Linked DNA regions of Lepisosteus oculatus. The protein of the gene in region 1 purifies or fractionates together with the protein of each later gene. This does not show direct contact. Links are inferred from orthologs where the notes say so. Each region holds a gene or a part of one and is shown on either strand. Other genes may lie near its edges.

Evidence for each region.
Region 2: the proteins of lrch3 (region 1) and sugt1 purify together in Homo sapiens (co-immunoprecipitation; 3 studies listed by BioGRID and IntAct, counting the BioPlex papers as one, with this or other methods). This does not show direct contact. The link is inferred for Lepisosteus oculatus from reciprocal best matches to the Homo sapiens genes LRCH3 and SUGT1.

What each region holds. Positions count from the first base shown.
Region 1 is NC_090708.1:16,897,961-16,913,283, reverse strand, and holds the start of lrch3 (DISP complex protein LRCH3), read left to right. Parts: upstream 1-8,850; 5' UTR 8,851-8,887; coding exon 8,888-9,110; intron 9,111-15,323. Other genes in the region: rubcn (run domain Beclin-1-interacting and cysteine-rich domain-containing protein), read right to left, coding at 1-11; UAP56-interacting factor, read left to right, coding at 1,878-1,980, 2,910-3,044, 3,401-3,549, 4,221-4,384, 4,547-4,634, 4,855-4,910, 5,179-5,253, 6,241-6,367 and 1 more. UniProt on the Homo sapiens protein: As part of the DISP complex, may regulate the association of septins with actin and thereby regulate the actin cytoskeleton.
Region 2 is NC_090710.1:16,035,158-16,050,696, reverse strand, and holds the start of sugt1 (protein SGT1 homolog), read left to right. Parts: upstream 1-9,744; 5' UTR 9,745-9,858; coding exon 9,859-9,872; intron 9,873-9,979; coding exon 9,980-10,028; intron 10,029-12,609; coding exon 12,610-12,700; intron 12,701-13,034; coding exon 13,035-13,104; intron 13,105-14,545; coding exon 14,546-14,616; intron 14,617-14,706; coding exon 14,707-14,760; intron 14,761-15,287; coding exon 15,288-15,316; intron 15,317-15,539. Other genes in the region: ETS-related transcription factor Elf-1, read left to right, coding at 1-36, 488-1,024, 2,521-3,115. UniProt on the Homo sapiens protein: May play a role in ubiquitination and subsequent proteasomal degradation of target proteins.

The DNA.
Region 1 (15,323 bases):
TGGATCTCCATGCTGATGTACCGGTGCTGCGGCACGAAGCGCTGGGACTGGGGAAACCGAGCCAGAGTACCCCTCTACCTGGCTTCTCGGACTGCGCGGTGCCTTCGCCTTCAGCCGCAATCCAATCAGCCCCGGACTTCAGGGTCAAGAATGTAACGCAAAACGACAAGACTAGCTCCAACCCCTCCTCTATCTCACCGCCGACTTCCTTCTTCCGGTTGGGGCGGGAGGAAAGTAGAACTACAAAACCCAGAGGTCTCAGCGACATGGACGGCTTAATTTAATTTGTTTTGAGAAAAGCTATCAGCACCAACACGGCTAGTGATATTCCCTTCATTTGTGGTTTGGACTCCTGTCTGTAGGTTATACATTTTATAAATACTTCTTCATTGTATTGGTATAACGCCTATTGTCCTTAAGGATCTCAAAAGATTTTATATATAGGGGACCTCTTCAGCCAGCATTAACAACTGAAGTGCAGTCCCCTTATAAAAGAGGATTAAATTGAATTAAAAAGGTAGTTTCAGGAGGGCACCCCTTTTCTTACAAATTACATAATGGGTGAGTACAAAAAACTGGCTAAGGATGTGACAACAGGAGTGATAGAGACCCATTAGGCCAACAATTCACACAAATAATTCTATATGAACTCTGAAACAGTAAAGGCCAAAGATCCTACAAGGCATCGGTGTTGGTAACATAGTGGAATTCTAACAAAATGTATTTACTATTTTGTTACCCTCTTTTTAAAAAAAAAAAGATACACGCACCAGAAAAAATGCATTGTTGGCAATGTTTAACGCACCAAAGGCTTAATTTAAAAAAAAAGCTTGATGAAACGTCCTTTTACGCGAGGATCCTTTCGCAGTTGTATGTGCATACACCGCAGGCTATCGTGCAATACGCCTTTTTATCCATTACAAGGGGATGAACACACAATCATAAATTATTTACATATAAACACATGGAACATGTCGCCAGCAGCCATATCACCCTGCAGCTCTCAACGGGCTACCCACTGAAGCTAAGCAGGGTTGAGCCTGGCCAGTACCTGCATGGGAGACCTCCTGGGAAGCTATGGTTGCTGCTGGAAGTGGTGTTAGTGGGGCCAGCGGGGGTCCTAATGCAGTATAGTGGCGGGGACACTGTACTGTAATGGCGCTGTCTTTCAGATCAGACGTTAAACCGAGGTCCTGACTCTCATTGGTCATTAAAGACTCCCCAGGCATTTCTCAGAAAGAGTAGGGAGTTATCCCGGTGTCCAGGGGGCCAAATTTCCCCCCTCGGCCTTTACCGTGGCTCCAAATTGTCCCCATGTATGATCGCCCTGCGATGGACTGGCGCCCTGTCCTGTCCAGGGTGTACCCTGCCTTGCGCAAGTTGCTTGCTGGGTAGGCTCTGGCTTCCCCCAACACCGCATGGTATAAAGAGGTTTGGTGGATGACATGACATATGGAACATTACTGGGAGACAGGCTCACTGTTCCTCAGGCTGTGACAGGAGGTCACGTCCTGGGCTGCCAGTTCAGCTGAGTTCCCTCCTCCCTCTCCCAGTAGGATTGGGAGTTGTTGTGATTCTGGCAGGTGAGGGAATTCTGGGATTAGATTTATAAATTTAGGGAAGAGTGTTTGTCGAATCCCAGAATATCTATCACAGTGGAGCATCTCTGTCTCTCCCCGCTGGCAGTGGGAGCACAGCCTGTCCTCTCAGAAAGCTGTCGTCTCCTGTCATTGGCTGTGACGTGTGCTGCGCGCCTGCGCAGAGCAGGTTTCGTGTCTGAATGGACACGGGGAGAAGAAGGAGGTGGGGGTTAGGCTGCACTGTGCCATCCAGTCCAAAATACAGACGTATACACAAAGGCCTGGCACAGCCCTGACATGAGCGGTATCGGGTTCAAGTCTGGCGGTGTCCCTGCCTTGAGGAATGGCCCGGGGACCAGCGGCGGCTCTGACGGCCTGGATAAGATTGACATGTCGCTAGGTAAGGCCGCACGGAGCCGGGGAGTCCAGGTGGGGAGGCAGCCCGGTTTAGAGCTCTCAGACAGCAGCGCTGCGGTAAACACCGGGGGGATGGGGATAACGGTACTACTTTCGGGACTGTACGGAAAGCTCCAGCCACCGAGAGGCTTGTCGTTAAAGAGCTTGCAGTAACAGCGGTGTGTGTGTGGCTGTCCGGTTTGTGTGAGTTGTGTAGTGTGGCAGTCCAATAGGACAGGTTTCACGGGTCACCCTTAAATCACCAGTTGGCAGGGGCTTCGACCAGTTTCGGTTCAACCACTTTTAAGTGGGTTGTTGAACAGTTCAGAGTTCTAGTCAATAGTTCAGAGATCACGACAGAAAGAAACAACAACGCTCAATACCGAGAAGCTCAGGATGTTGGCTCTATTAACTCAGAAATGGCCAATTATGTATTTATTCAAACCTCATTTGTATAGCGCCTAATACCCTAAGGGTCTGAAAAAACGTCCTATCTGTAGGGGACCCCTTCACCAGCCCTTATAGTTATAGAGGGGTCTACATACAACACGTTTCCCTAAGCGGTGTGCATACAGCGTGCATTTCAGTCTAGTTTTCTGCATAGTAAAGTCTGTGCGAGTTGTCTGGGTACAGCTTTCTGGTCTTCTACAGAGTGCAGTTTATATATGCATAGTCTCCTTCTTCAGTGTACAGTGATGGTCTATACAGAGTACAGCGTTTCTCATAGTCTGAATATAGTGAACAGTATACCTACACATAGTACGTTCACTGTACATGTCAATTTACCTTGTCCATGATGTTAGAAAGTCTGTCTGCAGCGTGGGCAGTCAGTCTGTGCGTGCAATGCATGTCTCTTTCCCATCCTCTCTCAGGCACTCTTTATAACCTCGCACTCCTCCTCTCCTTGTCATCCTCCCCTCCCACCCCCCGCAGATGATATCATCCGACTGAACAGGAAGGAGCAGAGGACCCAGTGGGCTGGCGCTGGGCCCCGGAGGCCCCGTGTCAATGGCCGGCTCACCCAGGGCTGGCGAGGGCCGGCCTGGGCAGGGGGTCAGCAGCAGAGAGGTAGCTACATGCTGATACCCTGTCGTGTCACACATGTTAATAGACTCGCAGGGAACATACTGGTACTGATGCACTGATAAGCAGGGAAGCATTGTAATTGTTGAGATGCCTCCAAAGCACTTTGAGAAGCCACTTTTAATGGTGCTGTATAAAATAAAGTCTATTAGCAGTGTTGCATTAAACAGTATACCCTTGTTGAAGATTGTCGAAGATGCCTTTGGCGTGTGTTGTCTCAACATTTTTCTGTCTCCCTTCCTTATTTCCTGTCTCTGCCACATCTGTCACCCCCATCTCTTTTTCCTCTCTCTCTCGCTCCTTCTCGTCTGTTTCCTCTCTTGTCCTCTTCCTCCCGGGAGGTGTGGGATACCTGGGGGCTCGAGGCCGGAGGGGGGTGGCCCCCGTTCTCCGCCGGAGGGGTCAAGGTGTTGTTACCGGGTTGGCCGCCCGCAGGAATGCTGTGCTGCTCAAGGGGATCAGCCCCTTGAACCGACCGCCGCTCACACAGGTACGGAGTGAGAGGGTGTGTGTGCAGAGAGAAATGGAAAGAGGGCAGAGCGATCATGTCTTAGAGCTGGGAGGCCGTTTAAGTGCACGTGCATGTCAGCGTGTCTGTGGACAAGTGTATGATGTCAATATAAAGCTGTGTCGGGTGCGATAGGGACTTGGACCATTGTCAAGGCTGGACAGGTTTGAGTTGCTCAGGGTGTGCTTCAGCTGAATCCTGCCTGACGACAGTGAGCTTGGAGATGTGTTTGCCTGCATCGGCCCTCTCCAAGGCGACAGCTGTGCTGTAGGTGGCATGAGACACAGCCTGCTGATCTTTACCTTGAATGTTTCAGAAGGTGCATGCAGTCACCATCTCTGTCCTGTGCATAAGAGAGTCCTTCTGCATGGATGAGTTAATAATGATAATTGGCAATTCCTTATTAAGGTTTCTAACAAGAAAAGTGAATCCAAAATTTTAGATGAAATGGAATTCCTCTGTATATTTGCCTTTGGAAGAAAAGGGCAGTGAATTGAGTGTCTGGTCTGTGTGTGAGTAGGATTATTTTTGTTTATGTGTACGTTAGAAGCTACACTGCTCAGCAGAAATATTATCCTTTCGCTATATCACGTTCATGGCCTCTATGATTCTTTCACACCTCCTCTCTTTTTCTCTGTCCCTGCCTCTGCCAGAGACCACGGCCTCTTCTTCAGCGCAGGGCAGTCCCATACAGACAGACGGATGCCCAGTGGCGAACATACCGGCAGGTGGATTCCCAGCGACAGCCGTATGGACAGGTGGACACACAGAGGAGCCAGGGCCAGCCCCTGCACAGACCCATACAGCTCCGCCGACGGTGAGCAGAGAACCGTGTTAAACAGCCATTAAGCACAGTTGTGTGTTCACCGTCTTCTCAGAAACTCTGTCTTCCTCTCACCCTGTCTCTCTGGCTCAGCTGCTCAATTTTGTGCTTTGTCACTGTGTTCTCTCTCTGATCACCTACTCTCTCTCTCTGCAGGAACATACTCCCCACATGGCCGCCCGCCTCTCACCATGCCCAGAGAGAGGCTCGTCAGGCCACCTTTCTATTCCGCCGTGGCCTAAAGGTACGCAACTCTTTTTCTCCTGCCCTCTCCCCTCTTTTTCCTCCTTCTCTCCCTTACACTCATCCTTAAAACCCCTTCTCCCCCCCTCCCCTCCTCCTCTGCAGGACTTTCTCATGTCAGTGTCGGAAGGCTCCAGAATGAAACACCACTGCAAAAATTGCGTTGAATTCCCCGATATAGTTGTAATTACTTTGTGCCTTTCTGTTTCTTTCTCTCTCAGGTTCAGGCCCAAGTTCAGAACCCTGTCTTGTCCCCAGCAACCCAGAGGACACGGCCGTAAGTCTGCCTCTTCGTCTCATTGCTGGATTTAACAGCAGACACTTGAGCACACGTGCATTAAGTGGAAAGGCTGTGAGTCCTCCCACTGCTTCTCAGTTCTGATTCAGTCATAAAATAATATGAACCAATGTAATGCAGCTCAGATTTGTAAGCCATAGCCAGGTCTCATTCCAGTCTTGTGAATGTCTTGTGAATGTGTGGATCCTGATTGCGTATGCTGTTCTTTCCAGTTCTGTACAATTTGCTGTATTGCCCTGTGCTCTAGGTGGCGCACATCAACCACTAGCGGAGGAATCCTGACCATATCCATTGACAACCCCACTGCCAGAATACCGTCAGAGTGAGTCACAACACTCCATTATGGATGTTGCAATAGTGATCGATAAAGTTTGTTTTTTTTACATTGGAGGCTGTGTTAATACCTGTCCTGGTACAAATATAGTGTGGTTTAAAATCCTGGTTTTCTTCCTCTGGGAAGACAGCAGACCATATACAATGGGCCATGTGATAAGCTCCACTTTTTTAGTTCCAATCCCCTTTTTGCACTTGTTGTAACTCCCGGGTGGGTTTACTAGGTGTTTGGTAACGACACAGTAGAATACTGTCCAAACATAAGGGTAATGAACAAAAGCATTGTATGGCAAGGCCCCAGACTGAAACTTAAGTGGTCACAACTGTGGCTAATTGATGTGCTCATTGCCTGGATTTTAAGACTTGTTAACATTGTCATCTGGAGCTAATGGTGTCTTTGCCTTTAAAATAAACTCAGGAGTACCAACAAGCAGCTCTTCCTCATGCGTCGCGGGTATGAACGGTCTTTATCCCACGCTGAAAGTGAAAAGTGTTCTCTCCTCACTACACTGAAGAAAACGAGCAAAGGGAACTCCTCCTTTAAACCACAGTGTACCTGGCTCCCCTGACTGACATATTTGGCACACAGCAACTGGATCTAATGCCAGTTTGATCTGATTTGAAAACAAGTGTCTCCTTGGATAAAACATTTTGTCTAGAGCATTGTTTAAGAATTTTGATTTTTGTCCCTCCTTGGGGCGCCTGTGGCTGGCGGTTCAAATCCCGTGGCTGGCAGAGCAATCCTACTCCGTTGGGCCCCTGAGCAAAGACCTTAACCCCAACTGCTCCAGGAGCACCGTACAATGTCTGACCCTGCGCTCTGACCCCAAGCTTCTCTCCCTGTCTGTGTGTTTGCGAAAAGACAAATTCCTAATGCAAGAAATTGTATGTGGCTAATAAAGTGATCTGATCTGATCCTTATTGTCACATACACCTTCCCCCTCATGTTACCATCCAGCTTTCTCTCTCTCCACAGCCCCCCCCGAACTCGTGTGCTGCGCCCCCCCCTGCCCCCCACCCCTCTCAAGCAGGAGGAGCCAGAGCTGCGGAAGACCCCCAAGGGTGTGGCACTGCAGTTTGACATTAACAGTGTGGGCAAGCAGGTAATTACGCCCTCCTCCGTGGCCTTTTATCCCTGTTGACACTGTGTTCATGGCAGCTCATGGGGAAGCCCAGGAGACCCTGAGCAGAGACAAACCTCCCTGCCCTGCAGCCCATTGTATGCAGCTGTCTCATGGTTTATTTTTTCACCACCAGGTGTCAGTCTTTCTAATCATCATTTCAGAAGCTCTGATTTTCTGTTGATCTGGGAGGTTGTGTGTGTGCGTTTGGGTGGGACCGTGTTGTATCTGTGTCTGTGACCGTGCAGTTCACCACTGCGTGCCCTCGTGTGTAATTCGTCACTTTGTGCGTGCGTTTGGGTGGAACTGTGTTGTATCTGTGTCTGTGACTGTGGAGTTCATCACTGCGTGCCCTCGTGTGTGATTCGTCACTGTGTACGTGCGTTTGGGTGGAACTGTATTGTATCTGTGTCTGTGACCGTGGAGTTCATCACTGCGTGCCCTCGTGTGTGATTCGTCACTGTGTGTGTGCGTTTGGGTGGAACTGTGTTGTATCTGTGTCTGTGACTGTGGAGTTCATCACTGCGTGCCCTCGTGTGTGATTCGTCACTGTGTGCGTGCGTTTGGGTGGGACTGTGTTGTATCTGTGTCTGTGACCGTGCAGTTCATCTCTGCGTGCCCTCGTGTGTAATCTGTCACTGTGTGTGTGTGTGTGTGTTTGGGTGGGACTGTGTTGTATCTGTGACCGTGCAGTTCATCACTGCATGCCCTTGGATACGCTGGTGCCAGTGTGCTGTTCATGGCTGTGGGCACTGTGCTAACCCTGCTTTCCCCGGGCAGACGGCCATGACCCTGAATGAGCGATTCCGCATCCTGAAGGACCAGCGCTCGGAGGTGGCGCAGAGCAGCAAGAGCAGCCGATTTGTCACCGTGGGATAACAGTATGCCGAGGCAGCCAGTCAGAGAGAGATGCTACTCATAGACCCCTCCCATCCCCCCAGCCAACACTCTCACTCTCAGATGCGCCGGACCCAGGGGGAGAGGCGAGGAGGGGGTGGACAGTCCTGCCCCGGCAGGGAAGCACAGGCCCCCTCTGAGGTCGGGCACCAGACACAGACCCTCCTGTGTGCTTTTGGTTGACTCGTGGGGGCAGGGGCAGAGGAGGGAGGGGATCTGGAAATGAGGAAACGAGAGAGAAAAAGTTGTAAAAACAGAAGATGCTGCAGCTCTCCCTCCCATCGCTGAAAGAGTTTTGGCGTTCCTGTTGGATATAGTTATTCTTACTTGTTGTTTTTTTTTTTGCATTGATCCTGTTATTCTCATATTTGATATTTGTTACTGTGTACGTTCAGGAATGTTTTCGGTGTTCTGAATAGCAAAGGGAAGTTGGCTGAGGACGATGCTCTGACGCACACTCGGTTTGTGTTCTGGGAGGGGGAGGGAGTGGGGGGTGGTGGTCTTCCAGCAGGTGGGGGCATTGAAATTGTGTTGGGTTTTTTTTAGACTTTATCATTTTGAGTTATCTAGATTTTCTTTATCAAAGACAATTCAGAAAAGGGCTGCTTTTATTTTGAAGAGTCTGTGTTTCTTTACAGCATGGAATTACCTACATAACCTGAGGCCCTTCCAGTACACTCCAGATCTCACACTGCCATCACCACCAGCTCCTTCGGCTTCGACTCCATGAGGAATGTCAGCAGTATTGGATTGGTGACTGTGAAGGAAGGGTACACTGGAAGGGCTGCACATGGAGTGTCTTGGCTTTAGAGCAGTGATGGGCAGTTCTGGTCCTCAGGATTTCATTCCGCCTCCAATCATGAAGAACTGATTATTTGCAAAACGAGTTCACCTATTTTATACTTTATGATGTTGCCAATTGGAACATACCTGGAAGCCCTGCAGGACTCCAGAGCTGCCTGTCCCTGGGGCAGAGTAACACGGCTGTTGTTCGACCCCTGCCGGCTAAGTAGTGCCGTTTTCCGAAATGCCAGACTCGGAGTCAAGCAGGTTGGCCTGGTTTTTGCATGGCAACACTAATGTACTTTGGTTTTATAGGAGTGTATTTTATTTTGGTTATGGTTTTGTGACTTTGCTACACCTCGCCCAGCTCTGACATGGGCTTCAGTGTTGTTTTTAATTCTACTTTTGTTGTTTGTGTGTGGATGTTTTTTTTTTTCATGACATTTTTGCTCTGTTATTGGTCTTTATGGAAGATGTTCACATAGACATAAACGTGCAGGGTATTTTCTAAAAAAAAACCAAAATAAATGTTAAAATGTTTAACCATTTCAATGAATTATTTTCTGTAGTCTGTTTTTTCCTGCGCAAATAAATTCATACTATTAAGACTATGCGCCTTGCCCACACTCCGTCAATTCCCTACTCGCTTTCATGTTCAGGCACCACGCATGCTCTATGCCCTAAAGCCGGGCTTTTATACGCATGCTCCTTGCCCACACTAGAATCTCCCCTGCCGGTGGCTTCAGAACGCCCTCAGTTGCTGCGCAGACGCAAAGTATGTTCAGTCCCACCGACTGAGAGACGGTGGGAGTTAGCTCTATAATGGCGGCTGCGGTCTTGCTGTCGGCTGAGGGCCCCGGTCCCGGTGTGCCAGGAGTCCCCGGTAGCGGACCAGGAGTAGCGGGACCCGCCTCCTGGAACCGCTCACTCGACCGAGCCCTGGAAGAGGCTGCAGTAACGGGGTTCCTCAACCTCAGCGGCAGAAAGCTAAAGGAGTTTCCGAGGAGTGCCGCCAACCACGACCTCACGGACACAACCCAGGCCGGTAGGCAGCGCCCGAGGGCCGCTGAGGGATGCTGGAAGAGACCGGGGGGCCGGGAAAACAGTCCGGGCACTCCCTAAATTATAGACCGAGAATGTGCGGCTCTGCGAGCGGTTTGCAGGCGGGGAGAGACGGGGTCTGTGCGCGTTACTGAGCGTCTGCAGTTGCTTGACATGTTCAGTAGCCGCTCCGTCAGACAGCTGTTTTGAGGGATGGTGGAATGGAAAAACAGCTCGGCTCACGCGTGTTATTAGTTACATTGCAATTCGTGGCTGATCATATTATCATGAATTATTAAGAAGAGGTGTGTAGTCGTGGCTGGGAGAGCATTACGGTTCCTTGAGAGCTGTTGTAGCTGTTGTGAAGTTTGTCGGAGTTGGGCTGTGGCGGAGCAATGTGTTCGTTGCCGTGATGATCCACGCAGGACAGCGCCAGTTCGTGGGAGATCCCTGTCTCCCCCACGCATAGAGTAGCGGAATGACTGGAGAACAATCACGATTTTGTCCTTGCCTTGTGGAGTATAAGACACCCCTCCACCCCACTCGGCAGCCGTGAGTCCGCTGTGGAAATAGCCCTCGTGATGTAAACACTACCCACAGCCCTATGGGAGCCGGGAGGTGTGGAGGGTCGTAACACCTAGCGGACTGATATGCATAGATAAGCCTCTCTGGATGTCTTGCTCCATTGCTAATTTGTTTGTGTATGTGACAGGGATAACTTTATTTTGATCAGTTTCTGGCAGTCCCGTTGTGGACACCCCTGTGGAGAGTTTGGGCAGTCCTGGGTGTGGATGTTCGCGGATGGGGTGGGGAGATGACACACAAAAGGCGCACACTGACTTTGTGTAAAACAGGCTTGTATGCTTTCACGCAGAATGACACTGGCTGTGTACACACACCCACACAGTGTGCAGACTGCCGGCCTAGCCCAGGAATCCACCTGTCACACTGTTCAGAGGGACAGTCAGGCTGAGTGAGACAGAAGCACTTTGCTGTTGGCAGCGCTGTGGGATGTTTCTTTGTGCTTAGTAGTGAGTCAGAACGTATTAAATGATGGGAAAGGCTGAGGCAGAGCTGTCCTGGCACACGGTTATGGTGTGTTTTGGGGGGCACTGGAAAACCGACAAAGGAGCTGGCTCTTTTTCACTTGATATATCGGGATTAGAGATCTTTCAATTATTAGGCTGTGCCTTGCAGCATAGAATCTAGTGAGGTGCTCGTTCGTTTCTTCCTCTGAACTTTCTGGAGACAGAAGGGATTTGCGCTGAGATCTGAGGACGGATAGCTTGATCCACAGTCCCCCACTCGATCGGCAATTCATATCAGTAGTGTTAAAGTAATTAATTATAATTGCTTACACTTATATAGCGCTTTTCTGGACACTCCACTCAAAGCTCTTTACAGGTAATGGGGATCCCCTCCACCACCACCAATCTGCAGCATCCACCTGGATGATGCGACGGCAGCCATAGTACGCCAGAACGCTCACCACACATCAGCTATCAGTGGGGAGGAGAGCAGAGTAATGAAGCCAATTTATAGAGGGGGATTATTAGGAGACCATGATTGGTAAGGGCCAATGGGAAATTTGGCTAGGACGCCGGTACAATATATAACAGAGATTGGAGATTATTGAATGTGTGCGTGTGATGATCTGTCAGTGTATGTAGGTCAGTTCTGTGTGTCTAGCGTGGTATTGATCAGAGGGACTGCACAGTTATTCTCATGAACAGCCCTTATCTGTGTAAACTGGCACCTCATCTGACAGGGGGGAGTGTGCTCAGTGTTTCATTTGCTTGTGTGTATTGTTTCTTTTTTTGGGAAGAGAGAGACAAGGTGATATTTGAGGGGGGGGGGAAGAAATGGATTAACATTTCTAAAGTGTGGTAGACATTTCACTCAAATCCCTGCTGCAATAAATTGTTATAATAATAACATGCAGTGCTGCATGTCGGGAACAGGGAGGCGGTCCCTGCAAGGGTGATAAAGGGTTTATCACAAGTCATGTGATGTTCTCAGTTTGTACAGTGGCACGTTTACCGCAAGTAAGGAACTGACAGTGTGGGATTGAAGAAACAACTGTGATTTCATCTCCCTTGCTACAGGCTGCTAGCTTGAGCCAGATCTCACCTGCTGGCGTTGACTCAAAAAAGGAAAGAGGCCTCACGTAGAGGTCGGTGATGCCAGGGAAGGCGAAGGTGTCTGGACTGTAATGAGAGGGGAAAGGCACGAAATTTCCTGGTGCGCGTGCCCCAGGGTGAGCTGCCCGCAGTGCGGGGGCTGAGAGTCTGCACGCACACCGGCTCGTCCCCTTACGAAAAGGGGAAGCGACAAGTCTGTGTACGGCACGGGGCTGGAGTAAAGATACAGCCTCGGACAGTGACTTGGTAATGGGGCTTATTTAAATCCGCAGCAATGGCCTAGTGATATTGATCGCTGCCATAAACGGCACTGTGGCTAGTTTGTGGGTTGAACCCTCCACACTTCCAAAAAGCGAAGCTGTCCATGGTGTTTCGGCATTTACTGCTCAGCTGAGATGTTGGTAGTTGTTATATTCTTTAGCAGAATTTCTTTAGCAGAAAGTCATAACCTCAGCTCCTCTCCCCAGCCGTACACTCTCCGTCTTTGGCTGCTATGCAGACACATCAGGCTCTTAGTCTTACACACACCTGTCATGGAAAGTTGATTTTGTGTTGTGGAAAAAATATTCATTAGGCTGTTTTACCTAGCAATACAGATAAGATTCTGAAAATCTCTCTGGGGGCGTACAAGGAGAAGCTGCTTTAAGTGACTCAGGGTTAGACATCAGCTGGCGGCCAGTGGGTCTCCGGTCTTGCTCCCTGGGATCCCAGAGTCAGCTGCCTGCTCGGTCCAGCTGAGCTCTTTCCCTCTTCCATGCCTCTTAGGCCTCAAACAGTTGGAGCTTGCAGGGTACCTGTAATAACATTGGAAATCTGCAGCTGTTTAACAGCTGAGGACTAGTAAAAATATTTTTGCTTGCGGTCCGTACAATTAAGTGTTCGCTTAGGTACCTCAGAGCTAAGCTATGCAAAAAAAACTATCTAGAAGGGCTGTGTAACACAGGTTTGCTAAAAAGCCTGACGGGTCTGGGTCAGCATGTTAACTTTGCAACTTGGGTTAAGGATTGAAATGCTTTTCTGTTTAGTGAAGTTCAGGTCTGCATTTAGCTGTGTTTCCTTGCGTGCCATCCGAGGCAGTAGACAGGGAGCCTGTGCTCAGGATACTCTTTGCTGCCCCCTGCACTGTGGCACTCGAACACAGGCAGCGCTCGGAGGCAGGCTGTAGAAGAGCACCCGCTGCCACACTGCCAACCCACAGCGGAGAGGCTGGTCTGTGGACACGTCCTGCAGATGTGTAATCTACTCAGCCAAGGCACGGGCTCTCGGTGCTTCGTTGTCATTTTACTGACAGGCAATGAAATAAAGCTGTACAGTAGCCCTCGCAAGCACCTCTGGCCTTTATCCTTGTGGCAGATTCTGTCTTTGTACAGTCAAAGCTTTTGTAAGATCCAGCCTTTTTTTTGTGCAAAAATGTCTATCTTGCATATTAGCTGCAAATGAATATTGGTTTTGAAAGAGACAATTGTATTTATTTAAATGAAAACATTGTCTGCATTAACCTGGAGTAAAGCAGGAGGATGAGGGTGTGAAGAAAGCGGTGTAATTCTAGGTTATCAGCAGGAGAGTTGTTCTAGGCAGTCAGGTTAAAGGCCTTGTTTACTGGCTATCTTGTTCATGTTCCCTATCTGTACTCCTGAGTCACCGCGTGTCCAGTTCTAGAACCCTCATGTGCTCCATCCTTCTGCTGAGATGTAAGACTGAGATCCTGTTAAGAGACTCTGCAGCAACTGTTGTTGGGACAGCCTTCACCCTCAAGTCTCTGTCAGTCACGTTTTGAGTGCAATTTATGTGAAATGACTGATTCTGATTGTTCGGCGTCCCTCAGGCCCCCGTCTCTATGCGCTGGTCTCAGGGCAGTTATAGCGTGCTGCCCTCTGTGTGTGCTCGCTGTGACTGCCACACTGCAACAACAGGCCCACTGTCACACAGACGGAGTGTGAGTGGGCGGAGGGTTTGGTTGGTCTGGATTGAGCACATTGTGTTGGGAATCATTAGGACTTGATGAGATACGGAATTGCTTGAAATTGTTGTTGGATTGTTGAGGGGGTGCTATATGGTAGGGTATAGGTCTATCCTGACTTCAGAAGTTAACAGGACAGATGTGAGACTGTTGATAAATCAGGTCTCAGTGGGGAGAAACTAAAACATCCGTTTCACCTGGGGAAAGAGAACTGAGGGATTCTTATCTGTTATACTTTCTCTGAAGCTTTCTTTGTTCGTTTTATTCAAATTCAAAACTATGTTTCAAATGGCAGTTTGCCTCTGATTACTTAACTGGAACAACATGACAGGAAAAACAGGAACATCTGCATATAAACTACAAACTCATTTGTATCTGCTCCTAGTAAACAGAACTAACGGAATTATCGCTTCAGGCATGGTTGTCATTATGCATTCTCTTGCATATTACCTTTTTATCAATATGTCTGTAAATCTGTACTTGCCCTTTAGTCATAAACCAAATAGGTACAAGTTTATAAAAGAGGTGTACACTGGGCCAAAGTTGCAAGTGCATAACTTTTGTTACCTTGTCTGCCAAAAAGTGTACTTCCCCAGGGTTGGCATGGAGAGCTGAAAGTCCCAGAAGTCCCAGAAGAACGTGAAACCTTTTGGTGGCCTGTGCTACAAAACAAACGTAGTATTCTGGTGTGGGGGTCTGGAACAAGCTGCTAAGCCATGTTGTTCAAGCTGGCTTTTTTCAGGAAACAACTAGATCAGATCTTCTGATCAGTTAGCTGCAAGCTTTCTAGCAGGCTAGAAAGGATGAATAACCTCTCTCATTTGGAACTGTACCTATATTCTTATTAGAGTAGGCCTTTGTATAGAACTAGGCAAACAGTTCCTTGTTTGTTCCAGGAGCAGAAGTGGAAACACTGGACTTCTGCTTGAATTGTCAAAGAGTTGGATAAAGGTTAAAGGAACTGCTGTATCATATGTATATAAACCTGTAGAAAATGTCATTAATGTTTGCTCAGATGGTGGAGGTGACCTGCTATCCCTTTATGTAGGACTGTGTTTTGCAATCAAGTTAGGGCTAAACAAATAGGTATACATTTATCTTTGTTTTGTTTGTGATTATACTGTAGATTATAAAGACTGTGGAGATCTTTGTGAAACAAACATTATGCTTTGTAAATAAAGGATTACTTGAATTTCCACCTGTGTAAAAAAAAAACAACTTGAGGTTCTTCTGTACTTGAGGTTAAAGCTGGTAAAGCCCAGCCAAAGGTGTTTAGGAGCCCAGACTGTTACTCTGTATATGGATAGGTGCAGTATTTCCTGTGCTTAATTTCTGCTTAGCTGTGCTTCGGCATTGCTCGGTTTTAGACCGTCTGCTCTCCAGGACTACTTAGCACAACACCAGCACCTCCTTGTGTCACAATGAATCTAACTTGTGTTCGCAATTGAAAAAAATATTGAAATTAGACTTCAAGTGTTAAAACCAGGAGAGAATGCGGAGCCTCACAATCTGTTATTGTTGTTCTCTTATCCAGGATGACATGAATGTAGACAAAATACTTCCTATAAGTAGAAGCAAATGATTTGCAGGTACAATAAGCTATAATAAAAAACGTAAATTGAATTAATAATGGCAGTGATATTAGAACAAGCTGGAAGATCAACACAAGTGCCACACAAAAGTGTTTAATCAGAATGGAAACATTGTACAGATAGTGTGGACACCCTGCAGATATGTCTCCCTTGTTTACAGTAAATAAGTGTAATTAAACAGTTACATTACCAGTCTGAGAGTTAAACACAATAGTACAGTACAGCATAAGGGTTTCTGAAGGATGTGCCTGAGAGATCACCGGTGCTTTCAGAACAGATCAGCCCTGAACTGGGGCTGAAAGGTGGCTGGAGACCAAGCAGATCTGATTGGTGTGGGTAGTTCAGCCCTCCACTGTTTGCAGGAGTGGAGAGCACACACGCTGTGGAAGGAGGAGATCGGAGACGGAGAGAGGAGGTGGAGGGAGAGATGACAGTCCGAAGCAGAGTGGTTGAGATGCTGGTAGTCGGGGACTAGGGTTTTTCAGTCAGATGTGTCCAGCGATTGGGAGACAATGGGAGTACTG
Region 2 (15,539 bases), on another chromosome or scaffold:
AGACATGAATTACGAGACAATGGGCAGAGCTCTCAGGTAAGACCGCAATGTCGGATCTCCAGAGCAGTGCAGAGGTTAAAGGTCTTGAAATGATATAACACCTAGTTGTATTAGTGCTGCACTTCTAGGTTTGCATGCATTTATTTTATGGTTCTCTGAAATGAGGCTAAAAGGCTTGACTTTTAGACTTCTGCATCTCCTCTTTCTGTTATAAATATCACAGCACCTTGATTCTGTGGAGGAAAAAAAGATTATTTTTATATAAGTCTGTATTTTATATTTGTTCTTATGCCACATGTTTTGGACCTCCATATACTGTCCAATTTCAGAGTTATTTTACTACTGTCCTCTTCTGTGTTAAATAAATTTTCCTACAGTTCATGAGTGTAGTCAGTTAGTAGGGCAGGTCTGTTTTGGACTACTTTTGTGGAGTAAATCTTGAGAAGTGAAGAGAATTCTCATCCAGACTTTGTGGTGCTTTTCACAGATACTATTACCAGCGTGGGATATTGGCAAAAGTAGAAGGACAAAGACTGGTGTACCAATTTAAAGAGATGCCACAAAATCTTGTGTGCATTGATGAGGATGACGACATTTCACATGATCAATCAACTGACTTACCCGAAACAGATATCCCTTTTGACGATCCTACACTTTCCTTTACAAAATCGTCCGTCAGTAAAAATCCCAGAACAAAGCACAGAGCTAAAGGCACAACAGTAATATCAGGCAGCAGAGCAGAAGGCATATCAAAGCCCACCGTAGTTATGAAATCTGGAGACTTCTCCAGCTCTTCAAAAATGGTCAAGCCCTTGGGACTTATACAGCAGCATCATTTGCCAATAGTGTCTGCTGAAATGTTGAGAACTTTGCAAAACATCCAAGCACTGCAACCAGGGCAGCATGGCTCAGTGTTTCGGACAGTCCAGCTGCTGGAGAATCTGCAGAACGTTCAGGAGGGAAAGATCACTGTTGGCGGCCTTCCGAAAATAGAAGAACCACAAGCACGAGGCCAGACGGCGAGGTATGCGTGCTTTTATTTGAATTGGGGGTTTTATTTAATGTAGTTGACTCATTGTAATCAAAGTTGTAGTTTTCATGTCAGAAAGAGGAGGGAGGGATCCTAAATTCTTGCTTCCTAGCAGTGCCAGCAATACCACCAGCTATATCACCCTGCAGCTCACAACTGACAACCATCTGAACCTATGCAGGTGTGAGCCTGGTCAGTACCTGCATGAGAGACCCCCTGGGAAAAAAACAAGTTTGCTGCGTGAAGTGGTGTTAGTGGGGCATAAAACCAAGGTCCTGACTCTCTGGGGTCATTAAAATCCCAGAGTGTTTCTCAAAAAGAGTAGGGATGTAACCCCAGCGTCCTGGCCAAATGTCCCATTGGCTTTTACCAATCTTGGCCTCCTAATAATCCCCATCTATGGATTGGCTTCATCACTCTGTTCTCCTCCCCTCTGAGAGCTGATGTGTAATGAGCGTACTGCTGTCGCATCATCCAGATGGGGCTGCACACTGGTGGTGGTGGAGGGGAGTCCCCATTACCTGTAAAGCGCTTTGAGTGGAGTGTCCAGAAAAGCGCTATATACTGTATATAGTGCCATATATATTATAATTCCTTCTCTCTGGGCTTTCAGTTTTCCTTACTACAGTACCTGATAAAAAAACACAGTATTTCTTCTGTCTTGATACTGCCACTTCTTTATTGGTACAACTAAAAAGCTGAATTCTTAAACTGTTTCTGTTTTGGCTGGTCTTCCTGCTTTCCTGAAATCTCAGGTGTGTAGTTCTTGAGATCAACATGAGGACTGCAAGTGTTGTTGAAACTGTAGTAAAGCACAATACATTCTGATGACCAGAGAAGACACTCCTGGCATCAACAATTTGCGTGCATTCGCCTGGACTTTACTTAATAAAATTCACTGCAAAGTATCTTTTAGAAAATTTGGGTTACAGCCATTTTTACCACCAAGTTGTTTTGAAATTATTTACAACTTTTTATGCTGCTCAAGCTGCAGAGAACCTCCAGAAAAAGGATGGTATTGTACACTTTGCAGGCAGTGATACGGATTCTGATACTGTTCTCTGATCCACTGTCCTAGTGAAAATACCTAACACCCTGCTGCCTTTCTCTGCATAAGTGGACGTTAAATGAGCAAGGCTCAAGTAAACGTTAACTTTTTTTCATCTCAGAAGATTGTAAGTTGTTTTGAATATTTTACTTCAGTATGACCTTTGGGAATATTCTATTTTGGGTAGATCAGAATGAGTACTGAGCTGACTCATCTAACTCATTGTGTGAGGGAAAGTCAATTGTATATTTTTAGTACTACCATCACCAGATTGTTTTTTGTTTTGTTTTGCATGTGGCTTTTATATATTGACATCGACAGGTTAAAGCAGTTTCGTTTCCAAAGGCACCTCAAAAGAAAGACCGTTATCACACACATACACTGCAAACCGAGTTTTTATAAGTGCATTTTATAAGTGCATTTTCTTTTTTTTTTTATTCAGCAGCACAAACAACGAGACTCAGTTTCCGGTATTTATTGCTCCAGGAAACCAGCAACTTCACACGGTGACCTTACAGCCATTGTCTCTGGCCACAGTCCTGGGCAGTAAGGACACCTCAGTAACCTTGGCTTCATCACCCAAGTTCTTTCTTCAGACTGTGCCCTCTTCCCAGCCAATGGCAGTGCTCATGGAAAATGTTGCAGTGACTTCTCCAAAAACGACATCGCCTTCTTCCGTATTGGCTGACGGCAGTATCTCCAATCAACAAGACGTTGCTGCCCATTTGCAAGGAGATAACGAGACGATTCCCTTGCCTTCCTCTCCAACAGTGGGTTCTGCAACATCTGTAGTGACGTTTGCAAGTGGTGGTCAGCAGCTTGTGTCTCATCCTCCTGGGACAGTTATTGCTTCTGTCATCACAGCACCAGACACCAAGCAGAGTGTTTCTCAGAGACAGGAGACTCCGAACACTTCACCGGAAAGACTCGAGCAGGCAGAGATCCAACTGGATCAACACTTCAGGGTGGTGGTGGTGAATGATGGTTGGGTGGAATCAGAGGCAAGAAGCCATGACACTGAATGTGATTCTGGTTGAAGTCCGATGTTCTGTCGTTTAAAGTACTTTAAAGTAGAGAACTCAAAGAGATGCTGTTTGATTTTTCTACTGCTTTCAGCACTTACGATCACTAAAATACTTTTTGGCACTTGGGTATTCTGTGTGACAACACGCATTGAGTTGCAGAACTGTCTAGGGTTTTTACAGGTGTGAGTTTCAAAAGTATAATGCCTTTCTCAAATATAATCTGTTAAACAAACTAGAAAAAAATGAAATAACAAATGCTTCATTGTTGTGTGTTGGTATTCTTTAAGGCTTGTTCAGTTATCTAACCAGTTGTAAATTTGGATGCAAACCTGTTTAAAACCTTTTGGTTTGATTTTACTACTGCTTTAGTTTTTTTTAATAGATTTTGCCTCTTTGAAATCTAGGCAAAGTACCATCCAAACATTTTTTTCCTCTTTTTGTGAAAGAAAAGTACCCAATCTTATCGATTCAAATAAAGCCTTCAAAATTTTTGTACATTTCAAATATTTTTGAAAATTCACAAAATTATCAAATCTACAAATTTAAGAAGTGTACATAATTATAAATTCCTCTAATTTATATTTATAAAATTACTGTTGCCTTTTGTGTAACTTTTTTAATGCAATGCTTAAATTCATCTTATTTTATTAAACTAATATTTTGACAATTGAAATTCTAAAAGCCTTTTGCAGTTAGAATATTATACTCTTTAAAAATGTAAATATTGTACAGGACATTTGACTTGATATAGTTTTACTTGTTGTGCATTCTAATTTTTATATACAACAGTTCTTGTTAAACTGAAATAATTCTAAACATCAGAGTGGATTTGTATTTATTAAATACATTTTTAATTTTGAAAAATTGTGTTTTGTACCTGTGAAAACTATTATATGTGAGTTTGAGATGTGCTCTTCATGCTTAATCTTCATGCTATTTTTTTTCCCTTTTTAATAGTCTTGAAGTGTTTGTCCTTAGGATTTACTTTATAAAATGTAAATATAGAAACATTAGTACATTTTTAATATTTAATTTTGCTCTTGGTTACTAACAGTTTAACTACAGTATATAATGAAGTATTCTGCAAAAAGGCTACTGAAAACCCAAGAGGTTTTTAAGTTTTAAAGTTTAGATATAAATTTGAGCATTGAGTATACTACTTCTCTTTGAGCTGCTGCAGTTGTTTTTGACAAATATAAAAAACTTGACAAATACTATTGGAATGACAATTCGACCAATGTCATATGATCAGATGCAATGAAAACTGACCTTTTTTAGACATTTCTATCACAGTTATAATTGGTTTAAAAAAGATGAAGCTCATATTGAGAAAAGTCTTGTGCCAACTGAAATATTGTGGGGTATGTGTAATGTTTTGTGTTTGTGTTGCTTGGTCCTGGAGCCCTTGTCAAGATAAGGGAAATTATGAACTCCAGTAAGTACCAAAACATTTTGGCCAGACTCTGGTTCATTCTGCAAAAGACGATCAAGGTTTGCTGAATGCAATCATTTCAGCATACATTTATATCCAAATCGGATGAAAAAAGAATGGTTAACCGCAACTCAATCTAATTGAGCATTTCAATTGAAGATCACAGTTCACTAACAAAAGTGGAAGGGTCTGGAGGATTCAAGGAATGTCTACATCAAATAATATTCATAAATATCTCAATCTCAATATCTCAATACCTTTTTTCACACTGCAGGTTGTGTCCAGTCAGGGTAAAACCTGCCAGAACAAGATTTATCACAGGGGTGTAAATGTAACCCTTGTCTTTTCTGGACTTTAATTATGACAAATATAACTTTGCTCTTTGCAGTTCTATTGAAAAGTATGCAACTAATAATATTTTTAGAATTTTAAAGCAAGAAGGGTTATTCAGTCTGTAGGTCTTTCTGTTATTATCTATTGTTTCTCTTAAAAATTGAAAGGCAGTGTATTTGTCATCAGCTGGGGGTCTTCCATACAAGTTACTGGCTTGCACTGTGTGTGGCCACTGTAGGAACCAATGTGTGCTGTACATCTGTACATAAATGCTGAACATACATTGTGTTTTGCAGCTTTTTGCAGTGTTGTTGGATTGTGTCCCATTCCTCTTGTTCACCCAGGACAATCTTCAATACTGTTAATGGTCATTCATTGTCAGGTGTGGTCATTTTTAACATAATTGGTTTCATTCTACACATCACAGTCCAAAAGTCCATTTTTTTATACTAAAAAATAATGCAGATACTGTTAATAAGGATGATCTTTTTTATTAGTTTTAAACAAAATAACTAAATTTCAGTGGAAGAAGGGAACAGAATATTTCTTGCATAAAGAACGAAATAACCATCCATCCATTTTCTAACCTCTGAATCCAGTGGATTGCATCCTGGACAGGATGCAAGAACATCACGGAGCACACAGAGACACACACACACACATGTGAACATAAAGACTCCACACAGACCGCACCCTAGGTTTGGACTGAACTCAGGGCCCCAGCGCTGCACGGCAGTAATGCTGACCACTGAGTGAAAAGATTAAACCAGGTTTGCACAACTTCAAACGCTTCAGTAACCAAGGACAGATTTCCTCGAGCTAATGGATTCCAGAATTTTGGAAAGCAGATGTTCAACAAATCAATGGGTCAACGAACCCCATGAACGGTATTATTCTCAAAGGCTTCGAATTTGCTAGAAAGAAGCTCTGTCCTAGTGTCAACTCGTCTCTTCCTCTTACGAGGGTGATTCCTCCCTCCCTTCTTATTCCTTCCTTTTTTTGTGCTCTCTGTCATGCTGCAATTATCCTCTTTGAGGCTCACTTCCTATGTACAGTGTATCGTGTCGTCATGTGAAGACTGTCTTACTGTCCTCCTTAAGAATGGTCCAGTTACTTTTAAATATTAACAATCACTGTTAAATAGTAATGATCTAATATTTTTGACTTAATGATTTAACAGTCTAGTTTTGGCCTAAGTTAACAATACCACACTTTTAATCATTTCAATATTGGATCATTGTTGACTGCCTCTAGGATCTACTGTAGGAGAGCTACAAATATGCTCAGGACAATCCCTATTGTATTGAACGTTCAGATCAGGGTAATTCTGCTGGGAAGAACAAATGTCCAGTTAACCATCAAACATGCAACAGCGCACTAATCAGAGCACCTCTTACCCATTCCTTACAGTATATACACCTCATTTGTCCATGTAATGTCAATTGATAGGCTACAAACCAGCGCAAAGGCAAGGGTGAAAAAAGTTAGGCACCAAAAATATACTTTCTATTTATTGCTTTGGTCAGAACAGACTTGTCTCTCATCAGTACTTCGTGGTTCAAGAATCAGAATGAAGCATTGCACTAATAAAACAATTCCCAATTTTTTCTTTATACTCCTCTGCCCTTGCATTCTGCTTTTAAAATGTACTTTTACTGGGTTTAGGAAAAACAACAAAAAACGAATCTAAAATCTTAACCTTACTTACAGTCTGCACATTCATGATAATGTGCAAGAATGTGTTTTTTGGCAGACTGCCGGTGCACCTATACACTGACAATATCTTGTATATTTTGAAATAGGTGATGTCTGTTTACCAATGCAGATCAATAATGCATTCCAATTATTTTTTAGTTCTTAATTCTTCTAGATATTTTTTTCTTGAAAAACATTTGACTTTAGCACAGACTATTAATTTTAGAAAAATAAAACCGGCAAAATATAGATTCTTGATCTAAAAAATGTGTTGGTTCAGAGCTGTGCGTGTTATGGAATGATTTTTTAAATTACAAACATGCATTACATCGTTTTTTTTCAAAGTTCTACAGAAGAAATGTGAGGTCTTTGCAGAATCTTTTGCAGTACCTTGATCGATTCTGCCATCTAGTGAAATATTTGCAGAATACATAAAATGTACACGTCAATTACACCTGTTTTTTTTTTCATACGCTGGTTTCTGGAATTATACGCAGTACAAACTTGTAGGCGTTTCAGAAAGCAAAGGTATATCTGGCGCCAAGAAGGCGAAGCATTTACAAGTTCCCTCTGGATGCATTTGGAAAACTGTCCCTGGTGTGTGTGTTTTTGTCTGACTTGGGATGGACTGGCACCTTTCCTAAAGTAGAAAATAGATGGGTGGAGACATTTTTATTCTTTGTCCATAGGTACTGTAGCGCCCTCGCTGGCTTTGCGGCCGAAGAGCGCCCGGCTGGGTGCGCGGCGAGGGGCAGGACGGGAGTAGTGGTGGCCAGGGCGGGAACTAGGAGAGCGGCCAGGGCGGCTGACCAATGGCGGAACCGGTGTAAAAGTTCGCGAGATCGCCCGGACTCATGTAAATAGTTTCCCTGGTTTTGCGTCTCATGTACCCAATTACCACCCTATCCCACTGTATCTGTACCCTAGTGTGTTGTAGCTTGTTGTCGATGACACTTGGGCTTGCTGTGCTGGATGCACGTCCGACTAATTAAAAGCGTCGTATTTTCAGTTAACAAAAGCCTGATCCCCTGTCTCTATCCCCGCTGAACCTGTCGCACTACAATATTTTGTTTCTGTAGAAGTATGAAAATGATTTAGTAGATACCATAGAATGTTACCATATCTTATGGTTCTATTGCAATGTACGGAAAACAGCTTACTAGCTGCGTTAAGTGGTTAGCGCACAAGTACGTACTAAATCGGTAACTTATTTTTAATTAACTCTTTATTACCTTTTCCAAATAAAAATTGAATTCCAGCAAAGCATGGGAATCATGTCTCAGTTGCATGTTGCTACTGAAGTGGATGTGTATATAACGTCTTTAATCTGATCCTTATATATGAAAAAATCAAAATCTCTACAGGTCCAGAAAACGCACATATGCGCCCCAAAGGTATCTTCATTTGCGACGTTTTTTTTCCCAGAATACAACTGGAGCTATTCTGACGAAATCATCTTGCTCGTAACACAGTGGGCTGAAACGTCAAGAAAGTAATGCTAATCTGTAACGCTAATTAGTCTGTAACGACTGCTTTTAAACTTGCACATTTTAAAAGACTTCTGGCTGCTTCTAGAAACTTCCCATTTAACCTTAGATCCTTGAATTCAGTCGCGTTAGTACTACGGAGACACCAGGTGGCAGGACAATATAGTGCGTTGCATCCTTCTGCAACTGTGTCTTAGATGTGTCCCTTTTTTTCATTAATACAGCGGTAGGTTGCATTCTCCCGGCGCAGATTTCCGCAGTCCTGCACAGCTCTGCGTTCTTCCAGGGCTGCGGACGGATTTCACCACAGGTCCGTGCAGATCCTACGCGGCACAGCGCAGTTTTGCAAACCAGCTCTGTGAGAGACCCGCAGCCACTGTAAACCAATGGGGTGACGCCGAGGACCAAAATGTTTTTGCTGTTCAATTATTTCAGTATTTTCTCACTCTTACTGTTGTTATTCACTGGTTTGCCTATGGCATCTACAAGCACATAAATTGCTTTCGTTAAAATAATATACATTTACTGTATTTTACCGGTTGTCATTTTCCTCCCTGCGGCGTATTACGGTTTTTAGCATAGATACCAACACAAACTAGATGTGCCCTTCAATCTGGCAGTTAGGTTCAATACAGCCGCCATCTTACGATGGTCAAACCAGGCGGCTCCTCAATGTCAGCTTTGAAAATACTGCAAGAGTTTGGAGTATACGGCTGTAGTTTTGGGGGGCAAGTAAACTGACAAAGCACAGGGGGTAACTACATTATTGAATAATCTGTACTCTGTAATTAAATCTCAAAGTGATAGATCTCGTTTAGCTTGCAGTGATAGGCTCCGGTTACCCCCGCGACCCCGTCTTGCATAAAACGGTCAGAAAATGGATGGATAAATATATTTTTGCCCAACACGTTAGTTATACGATAATTATTAGTTTCGTTTTTGGGTCCAGCAAACTCTATTACGTTTTGCTGGCTCTACAGCCGTATTCCTCATTACACTCTTAGCAATACGAAGCAGGTGTCAACATAAAGAACAATTCTATTTAGCTGTTTACTGTTACAGATTCTTTAATTTACAGTTTCCAGTAACGAGAAACCCGCATATTCCCGCTAAGAGTTGCCTCAACTCAGACCCTATCCGGAAAACAGGGTACAAAATCAACGTACGGAAGCACTCGTTTTTTTCAACATTATTTTAAACCGATTGGCATCTTAATAGTTTTATGGATTGTTTTTGAACTTTACTCGTGTTTAGCAAATTCAATCTCATTTACTTAACGTCCAATAATACTATTGTTTCATAACATTCTGAACATATTAAGTGTGACCATGCATGTAATACCCTAGTTGAGCATGACTGTTATATAATGTGTACGTATGCCATTATCATTCGTATTCGCGTTATCGATTATTCTGTTTTGTCAGTCACAATACCACTAGCCCACACAGAATTTTGAAACTTTTGTCTCTTAGAAACAGTAGCACATCTAGAGCTTTACTGTCCTAGTTACTAGTTTAATTAAAAGACAAATATTCATGTTAACTGTTTACGTTGTAAAAAAAGGCACATGCCCACCTGCTGACCTTTCTGGGCAGCAACGAACTAGTTGCAGTTCGTTATAGTTTGGCCATACTATTGCATTATGGGATACCTATAGTTTTTGAGGAAAAGCGATTTCTTGCGTCGCTCTGTGTGACGTCACACAGATCGCAGGGTGGATATCTATGGTTGTTTTCACGTCTTTTTCCATCTGAGCAGCCCAGCAGCCCCATCCAGAACGTTCTGGACGTCACTTCGGGCAGGACTTCATGGCAGACGAAAGGCAAGTGCAGTGTACATATTTCACTACAACATTCAGTTAAATTAGCCGAGTAACGAGTAGGTTGAGAGTAGCCGATTTTCTCGTTAACTGGTGTTTCTGTGTTGCAGGAGCTTCCCTGACAGCCTCATTGACGAGGATCCTCAGAAAGCTCTAGAGGTAAATAGCGTCCCTGGGTTGCTGTGCCTGTTTCCTTCCGTGGTCTTTCTCTTAGGTACTCAATTCGATTCTTTACGGTATTATTTTATACAGTCGGAATAAGCGTAGCCAATTTACTATCCATTTAGTAATAGATTTGGGCCTTTCTGTGTCAAAATGGTACTTCTAAACAGTTGTCTGCCCAACGATTTTCTCCGTAATGTTTTCACTTTTCCGCATATAGCTAAACTTTTTTTTCTTTGTAACATTACTCAATGTCCCAGAAAACGTGTAAACCTACATCCGTTTTAAATTGTCGTATTGATTCCTTTGGATTCGTTACATGACATTCCAGATCATCCTATCTTGCTAGATTCAGTTCAGTTCAAGATGTCAATGTAGTATTTAAGCGTGCTCCTCAAACCGTCCAGTCACTTGATATCTCCTTGTCCCCCAGCCAGTACAACCGGTCTGAATAAATAGTGCTTATTGGGCACATTGGAGTCAATTTAATCTGAAAACCTCTGTGGGCTATGTACTTTACATTGGCATTGGAAATATTTTAATATTGTATTCTACATACATGTGTATATATAAATGTGTGGATAAAAAAAAAGTTACAGTAGGAGAGTTAAGATACCAAAGGGAAAACGTTATGAGCCTTTCGTGATGATTTCCAAGTGGAATTTAAAATCATTGCCCTCTCCTTCAGTTTGTATCGGGAAAGACCCATAAATTTGAACTGAAGGTTCCATTAATTTAATTTGGATCTGTGATGGGTTTGAGCATTTTGCTGGATATTGGAATGAGAACTTTTTTAAACCAACCATTTTTGTGTGCTAGAATGTCTATAAATAATGTGCATTGGCACTTTGACAACTCGTTAAATCATATGCTACTACCATACCTTGGTCCTGTATTTTCTAAATACTCTCAGACATTTGCCTTTTTCTGTATGAAACACATTGTTCACCACATGTAGGTCAGTGATAGCTCTTTCAGGTTTCGCACTCATCCTTGTAGCTAATAATGGTGATTTAATCATCTTCTTCCAACATGCATTAACCTTCAGATAATTAAAAAAAGGTGTCAGAAATTCGTTAACTACAGAGTTTATTTTTGTTCTACACGTTCAGGGTCACAGATAATGGGAAAAGAGCCTCCTGACGATAGAAATGATAGACTTTAGCAATGCGTTTTATTTCTTTTTGTTCTGTTCATAGTTTGCATGTAATAGTAATGGGGACTCCCCTCCACCACCACCAATGTGCAGCATCCACCTGGATGATGCGACAGCAGCCATAGTGCGCCAGAACACTCACCACACATCAGCTATCAGTGGGGAGGAGAGCAGAGTAATGTAGTCAATTCATAGATGGGGATTATTAGGAAGCCATGATTGGTAAGGGCCAATAGGAACTTTGGCCAGGGCGCTGGGGTAACTTATCAGTAACTTATCATACATATACAGCCATAAAGGAAGTATTATTCATCAAATTCTGTTGATACATCTGCACTATACACATCTAAATAAGTGCACATTTCTCCAAACAAAGTCAGCCCTCTTTCCTGTTATTAGTTTATTAATAGGTTGTGTATACATCCCTGATTTCTTGTAAAAAAAAAAGTTATGAGATGTAAATGGCATGATAAGGTCAGCTGATTTTTTTTCACATCCACAAACTTGGACGTTAGATGTGAAATCTGTTTGCACCTGTTCTTCGCTGGGTCTCCAGTCTGTTGCGCTGATGTTTTTCTGTTTTGCTTGAGTTACTGAATACTTGCAACTGTACCAATTCAGAAACTTTTTCCCCTCTTATGTTAGATGAGTTTTAAAATATAGCGTTGTACCTAGGTTGTGGTTAAGCCTTAATTACCCCCACAATAAATTATATTGCATTTTACTGTAAATATCAATGTGTACTTTGTTGACATTTTTCTTACATTTTCTAATATACTGTACATACCTTAAGAAATGTCCTATGCTGAAAAACTGAAGGAATTAACCCTTTTCAGTCTTGAACTGAAAAGATTATGCGGGTACCCGATAATATGAACCAGGGGACACAAATGGAAACTATGTGGAAGTGCTTTTGGTTTCAAGAACAAGAGGCAAATCTTTACCCAAAGAGCTGTGGGAGTGTGGAACAAGCTGCCCAGCCATGTCGATGATGCCCATACTCTGGCTTGTTTGGGAAATGGATGAGTAGATTGAATCGTTGGATCCAGTTAGCTGCTTACTACTAAATAGACTAGATGGGCAAAATGGGCCTATTCCTGTTTGTAATCTTTTATTTTCATATTTTCAGTGACTAGTTTTTGTTTTTAAGTCACGTGTGAAAATTCACAATTGTTCTGAGGCTGATCTTGTTGCCTATAAGCTTTCTGAGCACCAGTCTTACTCAGTCAGTTGTCCTGTATGGCTTGGGGTGTCCTGCTCATACTAATTTTAATAACATAGCACAGACACAAATCTAGGGTTTCTGATTAACTTGCGCTTCTATTCAGTACTTTTACCAGTTGAGCCTTTTGGAAGCATCTGAGGTTAAGCTCTGCATATGTTTTTGTATGTCTCGGCACATTCATTTGTATTTTCTTCCAGGAGCTGAATGGGGTATTGGAACGAACATCAGATAATGCAGAATGGTACTGTCAGAGATCCTACACCCACCTTCTGCTACAAAATTACAGCAGTAAGTAAATCTACTACATCCAAGTCCTCAATATTTGTCAGTAATGGTGCCTGTCACCTAGTAGTGATTTGTCAACTAGTGGTGGTGTTAAGATGTGGGCATGTGTTGAAACCACTTGTGTGCTTTGACCAAAGATGCAACAAGAAATGTAAGTTATTCAGAAGAGGATGCATGCTGTGGCAAAAGTGGGAGGTAAAAATGTTTACCACACTGGTATCTTATTGTGTCCGTATTGTAACATTCCACTGTAAGAATAATTCTGTATGGAATTTGTGGGTGTATTAACATTTTGAATTTGTGCCATAAAATCTTTTCTATATCTTACTGTTTGTAGGTGCTCTTGAAGATGCAAAGAAGGCTCTTGACCTGAAGCCAAACCTTGCCCTAGCCTATCTCAGAGCAGGGTACGTGGAAACATTTTGTGTGTTGGTACTTCAGATGTTCCTTGTATTAGATGCTTTATAAATTAATTCTACTGAAAACCACAAAATGCTAAAGATGAGACACTGAATCTTGTGTGATTCTTTATAATATGCACTTTATTTTAGGCCAGTTGTAAACCACAAATACATAGCTGAATGTCTTTAGGATCTTCAATGGGGACCAAAAAATTTTGATTTTACAAGTGGAACTATTCCCATAAGAAATAATGGAAATAAGGGTTACTGGAGACCAGGAGGACATAAATATTCCCCAGAGGACATTGAGTGTGACATTTTTCCCATAAGGGACCATGACATGATGACATAATTCTAGAGTAGTGTACATTCACATTTTTTGTGAATACATTTTTGTGGTTTGTGAGCAACTGCGTACGATACTGAGATCAAGCAGTATTAGGTGCATGATGCTGCACAGGCTGAAAGTGGCATCATGTTTTGTGTATGTACAGCACACACAAAAATGAAAGCAACATCCAACTTTTATATACAGCAAAATAATACATACATTTACATTAAATGTTGCAGATGTGTTAAATAAGGACATCTAATACTGTAAAATTACTTTAATCATCTAGTAACTCTGTCTATATTTTAACTTATCTAGCAACATAGTGTGCTTGTGCTTCTCGCTGTTTCTTTGACTTCTTTGTTAGGGCACATTGCCTTCAGGGGACGTAAAGTCGAGACATAAAAAAGGTAAAATTACATAAAAATCTCAGCCAGAATACAGTAATGTATAAAAATCATTATAGATATAAATTACAAAACAATTTAGATTTTACTAGAAATTGGCCATTTTGTACACTCTGGACTTTATGGAGCAGTTTAAGTCCTTTGGACATGAAGTCGGGGAATGTTTATGCCCATGGTTACAGAAACTCAATAGTGGAAAAAGTAGGGAGACATTAAATGGGGATCTTCCTGTATTAACAGTGGCCTGGACGGTGTGGTTTTTTAGGGACTTGGATCAGTTCAGAAATAAAAATATCCAGGCGTTATGTTAATATTTTCTGCTTCGTTCTTCTTTTTCTCTTCTTATCTGATGAGAGGTGTTCCATTAGTTACTGTATATGTGATTGTTCCAACAAGAAAAATGATGAACACATATCCCAAAGCAGAGCTAAGATGCTTTGTCCATCTCTATGGTTTTGCTTTAATAAGTGTTTTGAAACAATAGTAACCACATAATATGCAGGAAACAGTTTAAGAGGAAATATCAGAAAATTGTATAAAAATGTCAACTGAGAAACAATATACCTGGGTAAAGAATATAATCTATTTTGAACTGGAATTGTAACTATGTATTAGTACCTTACACACATTTGGTTTGGAAAACTTTAGGCAGTTTTACACAATGCCTAAGCTACAGGTTTGCTATATATTTTCTTGTTTTATTTTATAGAGCTGCAGAGTACCATTTAAAAAACTACGAATCTTCATATGAGGCATTCAAATCAGGACAGAAGTTAGATGGTGAGTATTTCAGTTTTATATTAAACAGCAGGTTAGTTTTATGTGCTTATGGTTTTGTGACTTTCTATGTCTTTGCACACATTACCACAGAATCTGACAGCACCTTTGGGATTTGGATTAAAAGATGTGAAGAAAACATGGATTGTAAGTAACATCTGATTAAATTTAGTTTTAAGTTTATTTTCTAGGCTGTTTTATAAATCTCAAGAATAGTTAAAATTTAGTCATTTAGTATATGATTAAGCTTCTGAAAGTTTGTGCAGTTATTTGTTGAATGGCTGTCATACATAAGTATTCATTAAAGAGCACATGGACAATATGCCTCAGGCTGATGAAGTACCCTGGTTTTTTTTTAAATCTTAACAACATGGGATATGAGTTACAAAGCCTGATAGAATGTTTTATCTATAAATACATGCATATTGGTTTATTAAACTTTAGTAGCAGGTGTAAAATTAGTAATTATATTTGGTGTTGTTGATGGGTATAATTCGTAGTATTTTGGTCACTGTGATGTGTGGGTGTATTATCCAGCAGAAGTAGTATAAATATTAAAAATATTGGTAGCTGAAATCTTAAAGTTTCTACTTCTGGGTTGATAAAGTTTCAATCATTGTTTAACTCAGTTAATGGCAAAATTCATGATCACCAACTTATTTTGTTACTTGCAGTGAATAAACAGAATGGATCATCCAACACGGTACGTTGTTTTATCTCATTGTGGAAGATGATACTGATATCACGGCTTCAGGGACTTTCACATGTAAACCACTTCAGACATGCAAGGAAAGGCTTTATACCCAGTAGTTTTACAGAACAAATCAAAACATGTCTGACATAAGAAACCCAACCAAAGCTTCAGAGAAGGTAGCTACCACCACTTTTCAACCTGCTCCTATTTCTATACTTACTCTGGACTACTG